2 linked regions of the Arabidopsis thaliana genome follow. The protein of the gene in region 2 binds, or shares a complex with, the protein of the main gene of each other region. Each region holds a gene or a part of one and is shown on either strand. Other genes may lie near its edges.

The links.
Region 1: GRF6 (region 2) and KAPP share a complex: the UniProt entries of both Arabidopsis thaliana proteins name them as parts of the SERK1 signaling complex.

What each region holds. Positions count from the first base shown.
Region 1 is NC_003076.8:6,486,274-6,494,011, reverse strand, and holds KAPP (kinase associated protein phosphatase), read right to left. Parts: upstream 5,694-7,738; 5' UTR 5,563-5,693; coding exon 5,419-5,562; intron 4,275-5,418; coding exon 4,085-4,274; intron 3,910-4,084; coding exon 3,709-3,909; intron 3,604-3,708; coding exon 3,428-3,603; intron 3,343-3,427; coding exon 3,184-3,342; intron 3,095-3,183; coding exon 2,951-3,094; intron 2,864-2,950; coding exon 2,802-2,863; intron 2,343-2,801; coding exon 2,204-2,342; intron 2,094-2,203; coding exon 1,999-2,093; intron 1,878-1,998; coding exon 1,848-1,877; intron 1,516-1,847; coding exon 1,400-1,515; intron 1,313-1,399; coding exon 1,180-1,312; intron 1,095-1,179; coding exon 1,040-1,094; intron 962-1,039; coding exon 830-961; 3' UTR 573-829; downstream 1-572. Other genes in the region: AT5G19270 (reverse transcriptase-like protein), read left to right, coding at 7,003-7,057, 7,353-7,738. UniProt on the Arabidopsis thaliana protein: Dephosphorylates the Ser/Thr receptor-like kinase RLK5. May function as a signaling component in a pathway involving RLK5. Binds and dephosphorylates CLAVATA1 (CLV1). Functions as a negative regulator of the CLV1 signaling in plant development.
Region 2 is NC_003076.8:3,283,058-3,287,991, forward strand, and holds GRF6 (G-box regulating factor 6), read right to left. Parts: upstream 3,291-4,934; 5' UTR 3,205-3,290; coding exon 2,719-3,204; intron 2,454-2,718; coding exon 2,331-2,453; intron 1,726-2,330; coding exon 1,609-1,725; coding exon of another isoform or gene 1,558-1,608; exon of another isoform or gene 1,515-1,557; coding exon 1,419-1,514; 3' UTR 1,416-1,418; coding exon of another isoform or gene 1,395-1,415; 3' UTR 796-1,394; downstream 1-795. Other genes in the region: AT5G10460 (Haloacid dehalogenase-like hydrolase (HAD) superfamily protein), read left to right, coding at 4,765-4,836. UniProt on the Arabidopsis thaliana protein: Is associated with a DNA binding complex that binds to the G box, a well-characterized cis-acting DNA regulatory element found in plant genes. Specific negative regulator of slow-vacuolar (SV) ion channel.

The sequences.
Region 1 (7,738 bases), 3.2 Mb from region 2:
ATTGAGAGGATAGGATCTGGTGTTGTTGGGACACATGCTTTTAGTGTGGACGCTCGAACTACTCCTGATTTTTGGGCCCGCTTTGTTTTCAATTTCAAATCTTTTTGGGGTTCTGTTTTTCTTAATTTGTTTTAGTACGATGCAAAAGGTTGAACAACAACTCCAATTTTTAAAACGGAAGTTAAACTAAAATTTATTGAGTCAAAACTCAGATTAGGTAGTAAGATTACTTGAGGAAAGAATCCCAAAATCTCTTGAAATTCTTGACTGTTGACTATTTTGGTTCATTCCATATATATCAGTCAAAATTGTATACGTGTTCATTCCGAAAATAGGCAGATTTTTATTACAAAATCTGTGATTTTCTTTCTACTTCTAACCGAACAACAGTCAAAATAGTATTATTTTGGTGCCTGCGTACACATCGTAAAAAGAACAAAACTGAAATAGCTGGAACAAAACTGAACCGAAACTCTAGAATAACCGTATTGATACTAAAATCAAAAACCAAAATCGAAATCCAAAAGTACCAATGAATACTCAGAATTACGGACTCCATAGTCCATACTAAACTGATAAGTTGTATTGTCTGATGAAATTCATTCTCACCAAAGAATAAAATACGAAACAGAAACTTTAACTGATAATATTATTAATTATATAAGTAAAGATAATGAAACCAATGTCGCTCACCAAGACGATCCATCCTAAATCTCTGCATCTGAGGTTTTTTTGTCTCTCTTATACCCTAACAAAAATACTAATACATAAAAAGATGGTACACAAAAGAAAGACACTTCCCAAATATCTTAAAAGATGTTTCCTAACATTACAGGGAAGTATCGAAATCTAAGTAAATAATGGAGGTGTTGTCCTTTGTACGCATCGCTCTAGCTTCATTCAGCAGACCGTTTGCTATCTTCTCCGCACTACTCTCTCTCCCTCTCTCTTTATCTCTCATCTGCCATAACATAAACATTACATGAGATCGACGTTTTCAGACATAGCAAATGTCTCAACGAGTAGAAATTGATTTTACCTGAAGTACAAGCTGCACAGCTTTCTTCGGACTTACCACGTCCCATAACCCGTCACTGCAGTATTCGGATTTCAAAAATTAGCGAGCAAGAATCAGAAAACGGGAAAAAGCTTATTATGTTTATGTTTATGTTTTTTTACCTAGCCAATACAGCAAATACGTCTTTACTAGATTGATCGATACGCAAAGGCTCACTTATATATGGCTCTGCACTGAAACGGCTGTCTTGTTGCTTTGGAAACTTGTCTCCAAGCATCCTCGCAAGGTTTATACCTGAAGAAAATTATCACATCAGATTTGGTCATTTTGTTACAAAGAAGTTGCAATCACCTGAGCGTGTTTAATTCATTGAGCTAATACCAAAAAGCCGAGTCTCTCCATCTCTCAAGGCTAGTCCTGCTTCTTGGAATCGTTTTCTCTCGCTCAAGCTAACCACTCGATGATCTTCAGTCATTTGTATATATCTGCCACCAAGACTGCCAAATGCAAACCAAATCGTAATCAGTTAAGAAAGTCGAAGTTACTATTATAATGCCGAGACCATTAATTCCTAAGAGCAAAACAACTATCAGAATTTTTTATTATTAATTAAGATCCGTATCAAGGAAGATGTAGGGATAAACTCTCTTTCTATTTCCACAAAGCAAAGCAACGACATTCAAATATTCTTTTTCTTATCCAAAAAAATTCTACTCCGACGTGAAACAATCTCATCTATTGATGTCTATTTACTCTACTATAAAGCCTATATTAGTAATCATCTACTGTTTCCAAACCAAGAGGTTTTCATTAAGAAGACCACACTCACTCACGCTTTAAACACGCAAGATCTTTGTTTCTAATCTGAGTAATCAAGTCCCCTCCCTCTTTCTACACCAAGAAATGCTGCTACAAGTCTGGTTAATGCAAGCTCAGCAACTACGAATCTCAAGAATAGCAATATAATATTTTTTACGTACTGGATAACACATGCTGAATCCCCAAGATTGGCACATTGTGCGAAGAAGTTTTCTTCATTGTCTTTCCAAACCAAGAGAACAGTAGCTGTACAACCCTGCATCGATCAACTAATTCATTAAGTAGGAAGCAATGAAAAAGTTCCAGCCAAGTCGTCAAGAAGGCAAACATGCCATCAAAGGAAAAGAAAAGGACAAACTGAAATACCTCATATTGGTGTTCTTCGAGGCGAGCTTCTGTTTTAGCAAACATGTCCCTAAGGACGTCCGAAGCATCCCTTTTTGATAACACTTTCTCCTTCCTCAGCGAGTCTGATAAAATATTCGCTAGAACCTCCGGAATAATTCTGGAGAAGAAGTTTAATTAGCTTATATATTCAAGTATATAATTGCCGTTGTTGGAGACACAAGTAAATCAAAGATGCTCCAGTAGTTAGTGAAGGCTCCTAACATATAATGACTAAGCCCATTTACAAAAATGAACAGAACAAAGTTTCATATATTTGTTCCCGGCTGTAACCACGCCTGCCCTAACTGTAACACATTTGCATGGCTAATCACATGCAGCTAAAAATTTTAAACTACATAAGAAGTTGATTAATAAATGAAGCAAAAACAATAAAGAAAAACTCAGAAAGGCGGATGCTGTTAGAAGTTTAAACACAGCCAAAACCGCAGCCTTTTTCAGGTTAGGACATTTCGTAGGTTAAGCATACAAAGAAAACCCAAAATAAGACCTATCGAGGAGGATTTTATAAAAGAAATAGTTAATAGAGGTGATTTGGATTTTTTTAAGAAAGACTCACTTGATTGCGGATTGAGCAGCCCCTGATCCCCCATGTCCATCACAAACACAAAACAGTCCAAACTGAAACCATATACATTTGGAATTATGTTATCAAAAGCAGCGAAGCCCATCATCATACATACAACTCAAATCACTAATCAAGGTAACCTTATTAGCCCCAGGAAGCGGCCACTTGTAATGACAAACATCTTCCATCGGAAGTTTCCTGCCTCCTCGACGCATAGCCATGGGATCTGAGGCCACACCAATTTTGAAGGGTATCTGAAACTCATTCTGAGAGGAGATACGGACCTTCCAAAGATGAAAAGAAATTGCATGAAATTAACAAGGGAAACAAAAAAAATTACCAGCAAGCACCTTCACCACTCAGATTGACTTACATAGACCTTTGTTGTTGTTCCCAAAGTTATTATATCATCACTTGCAAGCTCGACAGGGTTACCCCACTTCCGGCTGCCTAAATCAGGATGACTTATTGAATGAGAGTTTACGAGAGTTCCATTTAGGCTACCCATATCTACCAGCTCCCATTTAAATTTCTGAAATCAAAACCAGGCAGGTGTGACGCACAGTGTAAGAAGTGGCATGCAGAAGTCGTATAAATAAATCTACATAGCTCCTTACAGTAGAGTTCCATGTTATCTGTGCATGTTTCCCAGAGACTTCTGAGTCCTTCAATGCCAAATCAGAAGGAGAAACCCTTCCAAGTTTCACTGGCAGCTTGGAGGAACTTGTGGAGTTCACAGCATGTTGAAGCCCAATGGCAGGACCCGCGATGACTTCCAGGAACAGCCAACTTCCTGCACTTCTAACACAAAATATGATATATGTCTTGCACAAGTAATTCAAAAAATGGATTGAAGTTGTATTACACACCCTAGGCAAGCAAAAGAATAAGAAATTACTTTGATCTTCCACGAGCCTCGGAGAAAGATTAATAAGTCGATCCTTTTCCAGATTATATTGCAAGTTTTCATTTCTGTTATTCTGCCAGTCATATGTTTGCACTTCTGCCAAGGAACCTTTTTCAGCTGGAAGTTTAAGCGTTTGGCCCACCAAAGCATTGTCAGAAGGTTCAGAAATTACTTCTAGAACAAAGCTTTCACCTACATAAGTTAGGGCAGATTGGTAAGGTCAAGAATGAGTGATGCATAGAGTTCATAATGCAAAGAGGATGTTTCTGATACAACTGTATCATTTCCATCACGCTAATGATCTAGAGTCAATCCAACTTGTCTACCAGAGCTGGACATAGCAGGGGAGGAAAGAGGCAATGAGTACCTTGGGAGAAATGGGGAGATGACGAAGGAAGCCTTTGTTTGTAAAACCGTCCCTCAGTCAGAGATGAATGCAAAAGTCCATCATTTTGGTAGCAAGCTCCCTCTAAATCATATTCCCTTGTTACCTCACTGGTTTGTCCTTGGATCAAATTTCCATCATCAGAAATAAGTGGTCTCTGCAAATCCCCCACCTGCAAACAATGGCGCTGAAAGAATTAGGGCTAGGAGCAAAAAAAAAGTTGCGTAAACTGGATACTCAATAGCTGAAAGATGAGAAACTCAATATTTCCCTATATGAAGAATGTAGTAATAATAAGGTGGATTTAGTTCTTATACAATTTTAGTATGTTATCCAAGTTATGGAGAAATTGCAAACAAATGAAATCTACAAGCGAAAAGACTAGATGGATGAGCTGTATCCTATTTCCAGTGAGAGTAAAACCGCCTATTAGATTAGTAAGGAGTAGAGTATAACAGAGCTAGGAAATGAATGAACAGCTGATTTCACCTTTTTCATTCATTTGTTACCATTTCTCCGGTAGAAAGACAAAAATACAAAAAAAACAAAACTCACAGAATTCCTACAAAAAGGTAACTAATGAGGAAGAAGTTCTCCCACGATAATTTCCCACACTGAAACTGAGTTCTTGGCAACATTCACATTGCCTAATATATAAGCACCAATGTCCAAATTCAGAAACAAATCGACAGTTTTCGCAAGCAAATTCACAAGAGTTCCCTACTTCCAATGTCTGTCTAAGTGCACATCAACAGTTTGAGCCGTTGAAAATGTCAATTAGCCATGGCTAGAGAAGAAGAAGAAAACATAGCACACAAAAGAAGCTGAAACGGCCATTACGCTTTATTCAAACAAAACCATTTTGTGCAAATCGAGCAGGCAGAGAAAATCCAGCCACACTCATTATAAACCAAACGAATCTATCAACTCTTGAGCTTCAAAAGAATCTAACAACAACAAAAGAATCCTAATTTTTCAACAGTGAGAAAACTCAACAACACATTATCATCTCCAAAAAGTCAATCAGATTATTTCAGAAACCAAACACACAATATATATCTCACCGCCCCCACGTCGACAAAATCAATCAACGAAATCGCCAAATAACCCCAACTACTATCGGAATCCACGAGAAAAGCATCATGATCCAGCGACGTAACACTTGTCACTGATGATCAAATCCTTTATCAATTGATCATTTCGCGAAAACAAACCATCCGACATAAAATCGAATCAAAAATCAAAAAACGAAGCCGTGGAACGAAGACTCTGAAAATTGAATAGAGAATGAGATAAGAGGAAGAGGAAGAAGAAACCTTGAAGGTAGAAGAAAAACGAGAGGAGGATCGGAAACGAGAAAAATATCGCCATGGCTTGCAGGCGAAAAGGATGATGAGGGAGATGAGAAGCAACATAAGAACCATGAATAGCCCAATAATGTTCATCCCTATCATCGCCATCGTCTTCGCTTCTCTCTCTCTCTCTCTCTCTCTGCACCCCTCCTCCTTCCAGATTGGTTCCCGAGAACCTCGCTTTGAATTTTTCTTACCTTCTCTGTTTTTTTTTTTTCTTTCTCTTATCGTATTTTCACTGTCTTTTTATTTTCACTGGTCGATAGACTCTAAGAGTACATTATCCCTAACGCTTTACATGATTGGCTAGGGTTGGATTAAGCTATATAATTATCACCTCCACGAGTTACTATTGGTTAATATGTGGATTACGCTATAGATTATGAGATTTTTTTTGTTTTTTACACTTGATTTATGGTTTTAATTTTTTGAAAAAAAACAAATTAAATAGATTAGAATTATCAAGAATCTTGTAAAGAAAAAGGTTATGTTTTTGAAGACTTAAGTGATATGTAGATATGATTCTAGAAATCTCATTGTTAATGAAAAGTTTTTCGATCGAGATGACTTATTTATGTTTAGATGTATTTCGAGTAACATCTAGAAAAATTGGTATAATATAGAGGTACAAAAATAACGATGGTAACGTTTTGGCATTGTTAATCTTACCGCCTTATGTATTTGGTAACAAAAAATATCCGATTATTTTTTATCATTGCAATATATGATTGCTAATCAAAAGCAGGAATTGGATAAGAGAAATAACAGTATACTTCTTACCATTGCGATATATGATTATTAATCAAAAGCTTACTGCTTTTTGTAGGGTAACAGAAATAACGGAATAGTACTTCTTACCGTTGTGATAAATGATTACTAATCAAAATAAATTAGTTAGCACAAAAAATAACAAAATGTAATCCCTAATGCAGTAAAATTTAAACATGAATGTATAATGCATTCTAATATACCAATCGTAAATATCAGTCTTGTGCTCTTCTCTTTTATGCAACAGACAAGCACACACACGCACACAAGTCATTTTCCTAAAATCTTGTAAAACATAGTAATCAAAAATGTCTATGTGAGTATAAAACATGTTACAGTTACCTTTATTCTTGAATCAGAGAGAACTTCCATTTTCTTTTGTTTTATCAACAAATGCAACTACTCCATTTTTAAAGTCCCATATGAATTTATAATACCAATATGCATACAATTATGCATACACGAGATGGAAATTACATAAATGATACTTACTAATCAACTTTCAATATATTATCCATTTGGTAACGTTTTTATTTTTTATTGACTATGCTTTAAATGTGGTAAACATATACGAATATATAATTTGGTAACATAATAATAGTCTTCATTCACTACCTTCTCAATTTTGTGTATTTAAGAACTCTCAATTTGTTTTTTGTTTTTTATGGTTGTTCAAAGACAACAATTGGTAAAGCATATATATAAGAAAATTTGTTGTTAGAATCTTTCAGTTGGTTAACAAAACGGCCGGTCAGACCTTTAAACAAGGTTCAAGAGACGATGCTATTGTCTACTTCTCAAGTCATGATTGCTCATCACAGAGGACACATAAATCGTAACTGAACCTTCTCTCTTTGATATATCAATTTAAATCTATATGGTTCTTGTCAATTTTGTGTTTAACACTCTTGTGAGTTTTTAACTTTTGTATGGCTAATGAGTTTTGTAATCTTTTTAATTTGATGTCGTTGTCCTTTTATCATAAACTATACAATTAGCCTAATGTCTAACGTTTGTTTTTAAAAAGACGATAGCTAGAATTTTGCAATTTTTCTTGTAACTTGTATCTAACTAATAATTCAGAAATTTTATCTTTAATTTGTTTAATAAAAATGATAAATTGCTTGCAGGTAGACATGTGGATTTGAGTGTACAAGGATCCATAGGGGTTGAAGAAGAGGAACGGTGGCTTAATGCGCGACAGATAGATACATATGGCGCATGCTTTGTTCGGGGGACGAGCTTGGATCTTAACTGGACTCCTCCAGACTTTGGAATTGTTAAGTGTAATGTGAATGCTCATTGGGGAAATGCTGACATGATGAGTGGGGTAGCTTGGATTGCTCGTGATGTTAATGGTTTGGCTCTATACCATGCAAGAGATGCTTTTACAAGGTCTTCAAATAGGATCATGGCCGAGTTGCGTTGTATCTTGTGGGTGGTTAAAAGCTTACGAGATCTTCGTTTGCAAAACGTGATAATCTCTTCGGATTGTCAAGCTGCAATTGCTGCCTTG
Region 2 (4,934 bases):
AGTTATTTTATGAATATATAAATATGAATACGAAAGACATTTTATGTAATTTTTGGTATATTAGTTAGAATATATTTGTATATTAGTTAGAATATATTCATATTATTTTATATTTTAATACAAAATTATCATGGAAACGCACATCAAATTATGAACAGAAAATATTACATTAGATAGTAAATTGCATTAAAATATTTTTCAGTGACAAAATGGAAACGAATTAGGAATTTGAAGTAGAGGCCAAGTCAATGAATATCTAGTCATTATATTAGTGTTGTTAGTTAGAAGCTAATATTGTTGCTGGTGAGGTGAGAAGTGTGAATATCGTTTGCACCAAACATATTCGTGGACTACAATATAATTAGCTTGAGAACACCGAATTTTCAGAACCCCCTGCATAAGCATAAGATCATGTGATTGTCATATGCAATCATTAGATAACTAACATGAGGAGACTCATCTCAAGTCTTTTTGGCTATCGAAAATCATTTGCTACATAATAGTTAAAAGGAGAGCACACATATTGTGATCCATTCATCTATTTGCATTTAGACTGAAAAGGAAAACTCTTAACAAAAGAACTGAAAACCAAAAAGTTCAAAGAAAAGAAACCCGTAAAAATAATACCACTACTTAAGAAAATCCAAATACAATTAAACTTCAAGAATAAACATCTTTAAAATCATATAAAGCTTTTAACATGACAAGCTTTATATAAATAATGAACGTGGACTGGAATCACGTGTGAGCGAGCAACTTTGGTTTTTACAGTATCTTTCTCTGAAAAGATTGGTGGAAGAAAAAGAAAAGTTGGAGTAATGTATGAGAAAACAACTAAATGTCTCAGAATTCGACCAAAGACTGTTATTTTTATAAATAGTTTTCATGCATGCAATGCAGACAAAGTGGTCCAAGTACACTTTTGATATTTTGCATCTCTTTGCGTAATGAGAGATTCGACTTCTTTGATACGTGTGTGCTTCTCTATGGTCGCATTCTTCCACAGCCTATGTTGCACAGATTTTCTTGGTTTGACTGGATTTTATATACGTAACAACATTGACGATTTTTATTATTCACAGTTTCACACCGACAAAAAATCCACGAATTTTGGGTTCCAACTTGATTTTGACGATACAGTAGAAGGATCATAATTTAACCAGAGGAGCCTTAAGGAGAAAGATGTTTTTAAGGCTTGAGCAGAGTCGAGACAATAAATATTAAGAGCACAGAGGTTTAGTAGAGTAGATAAATCATCAAGCTGTGCACAATCATAATCATCATAAACACTTCAATCTTTTTTCACAGTTTTTGAGCAAAGGTTATGGGGATTTTGAGATCGATTTGGTGGCAGAAACATCGCGTAACAACCCTCCCCCCCTTCATCTAGATCCTCAGGCCTCGTCCATCTGCTCCTGTTACATAGAGTAGTAATAACTCAGCACACACGGTTTTGCGGTTATTTCAGTTTTAACATGTTCTTTGATGTCTCTTATATGATGCATCTGATTGGTCTATGATGGAAACACTAATCACACTAAGATATGATCTTTATAGTTATTCGAATGGTGTAGAATATCGAGGTACGGCATAAAGAGATGTGAATACCTGCATATCGGAGGTCCAAAGGGTTAAATTGTCCCTCAGCAACTGCATTATGAGAGTGCTGTCTTTGTAGGATTCCTCTCCCAGAGTGTCAAGCTCAGCTATGGCCTCCTCAAAAGCCTACAATTAAAAATCCAGTATCAAAATTGAGAATGCCCCCACAGTGAAAAATTTCTGCCGTTTTACTAAATGTCTTATACGTAAGTTCTAGTTGAAACAGAATGAGACATCAGTCCTAGTATTGGACAACATGGATCTTCATCATCATATTAGTCTGTGATTATTAAAAAAGAGGAATTTTGTTAAAAAAGCTGACTCAAAGTGATACTAGATGAAGCACCATGAATCAAAGAGTGGTTCTTTATCTAACAAAACATACTCAGGAGATAAAGGTACAACAGAAATAGTCAACAAGTGGTCAATCCTCTTAGTCAAAACATCAAGCAAGCTCATTCAAAGTGATAAGAAATGATGATACACAGAGGGCCAAAGATTGGTTCTTTACCCAACAATACATCTTAAGAAAAGAAAAAAGTACAACAAGACTAGTCAACAAGTGGTCAATTCTCTTTTGTAATAACATAAAGCAAGAAACAGAAGCAAACTCTCAAGAGACAAACTCAGGTCAACGACTTATATGTTTGTTACCAGAGAGGCAACGGAAAGAGAGAGAAAGAGATGTTCCTAATTGAGGCAAGCAGCGAAAAAGAAAGAAGAAGAGTAACCTGTTTGGCCATGTTACAAGCTTTGTCTGAAGAATTGAGAATCTCATAGTAGAACACTGAGAAATTCAGGGCCAGACCAAGCCTTATCGGATGAGTAGGTGCCATATCCGCAGCTGCGATATCCTTCAAAAAACATCACATCGAAAAATAGACAAAAACATCTCCATCAGTTTGAAGAAAGCAATTTTTACTCTTTAAGACAAAAACTGAAACAAAACAGCAATCTACTTTCTCATGATTTGATAAGCATAGTAGCTCAATTAGAGACCAATTCTAGATCAGGACATAATTACTAGATTTGGAAGCTATTACCAATAGAAGAAATCTCGTAAACAGAGTTCACAAACAAAACTTATCAGCCAAATCAGATTTGGAGAATGAAAATAACCTGAGCTGCTTTGTAAGCGAGCATGGTATCTTCAGCAGCAGTTTTCCTCTCATCACCAGACTTAAACTCAGCCATGTACCGATGATAATCACCTTTCATCTTCAAGTAAAAGACCTTAGACTCACTCGCTCCAGCAGATGGGATCAGATGCGAGTCAAGGAGCTTAAGGATTCCAGAGCAAACAGAAGAAAGCTCAGACTCAACTTTAGATCTGTAATCCTTGACAAGCGACACGTGCTCGTCGTTCTTCCTACTCTCTTCCTTCTGCTCAATCGAAGACACGATCCTCCAGGCGGCGCGTAGAGATCCGATCACGTTTTTGTAAGCAACAGAGAGGAGATTCCTCTCTTCAACGGTGAGCTCTTCCGCTGGAGTAGCGCCTGTAACGAGCTGTTCCATGAATTGAACCATCTCTTCGTAACGCTCCGCCTGCTCGGCGAGCTTCGCCATGTACACATACTGGTCTCTGCCTAATGTCGCCGCCATTAGAGAGAGAAAGAGAGAGATTTGATTTTTTTTTGTTTAATGGGGAAAATTTGAAGAAAATGGGAAAGAGAAAGAGAGAAGAAGAATAAAGGGCAAAGAGTCAGGTGGGCTATTAAAAATAGATGTATATTAAACCCACGCGCAAGTGTGTTCACTTTCGATTATACGACGGCGTTTGATGTTATAGTCTTTCGTAGAGTGAGGAGCGTGGTTTGTGTTGGCGAGTGGGATGGTTGGGAGGGTTTGGGGTTTGTGATAAGAGCGAGTGAATGGACGATAATAGTTTTTTAGTGAGTCAGCTTCTAGTCACTAGTTTTAAAGTCAGAACTCTGATTGGGCCTTTATTAGGCCTAATATGGGCCTTATGAATTCCAATACTTATGAAGTTTGTAATACACACCTTTTTTTTTGTTGTTGCATAAAATGCGAAAACTTTTTCTTAAAGAGAAATAAAGTACATAATTTAAAAGACTAAAGTATATATTCTTTTAATATTAAAGTATATTAACCAAAATGGAAATCAATAGTTAGTAGTAGTGTCGTCTGCAAAGGAAAAAAGTGAAAAATAAAAAGACAAAGTCCGAGAAAGGAGACTTTTTAATACGTTCATGTGGTCAACCGTCACCGTGAGTCCAGAAGGAATTTTTTTTTGCATCGACGGATGGGAACAAGCTCCGTCTCTCGGCCGTTATGTTTTCTTTCGGCCTTTACTTTGGACTTTCACAACTCATTTTTCTTTTTCTTTTTCTCTTTCACAACTCTTTATCACTGCAAAAAACAATAAGGATATGCCTTTTTGATTCTTATCTTGTTATTGTTATATGATGATTTACAGGTTTTAGATGAGATATTTGTGACTCGAATGCAAAGCTTAATCGGGAATTCGTTAAAGGACGAAAATTTGGAGGCACCAAGATTGATAATGGAGCTTCGGTCTATGCTTTTGTAAACGCTATATGGAAAACTGCATACTGTACTACTTGGAGAAGAAGAGAGAAAAAATATGTTGATAGAAACCATACTTTGAACATTCAGCTATAAGAGTTGGGCATGGTGTAGTTAGATTAGTGATGACTCATATGTTCATTTTGGTTCTATTGTTAATAAAATGTATATATATATATATATAAACTCAGCGATCGTTTCAAGTTTCTATAAATCTGATATACAAATTCATCACTGTTGCCACCAAAATAAGAATGAAAGAGAGAAGGGGCGCTTTGGTCAACTGAGCGGTTGTTTGTTTAAAGGGCGGGAAATTGTTTTGAAAGACAAAATATTAAAAAAATATCGTCGCCTGAGAGATTCGAACTCTCGCGGGGAAACCCCATGTACTTAGCAGGCACACGCCTTAACCACTCGGCCAAAGCGACTATGTTGTTTGCTGAAGGATTAGCTACTATATAATGTTGTTTTACATAAGTAAAGCGTGGAGCTTACTCGCGTATGTTGCGCGTACGTATGCGTTGTGCTTGTGGTAAAGTGAAAAACACTTTGTGGTTTGTTTTTCGATTGGTCCAGTTCTCTTCAGTTCTTCTTCTTCTCGTCACAGGAAGAAAAATGTTCTGTTCCTCGCAGCTCTCACAGCCAATGAATGGCCTCAAAGACATAGTTGAGACGAGAAATTTTAAGGTTTGACCTTCAATTTACTGTCTTCTTATGTGCTCTCTGACTTTCTCCTCCTCTTATGACGAGCGAAGCCATTAACATATCTATGTTAGTCTGATGAT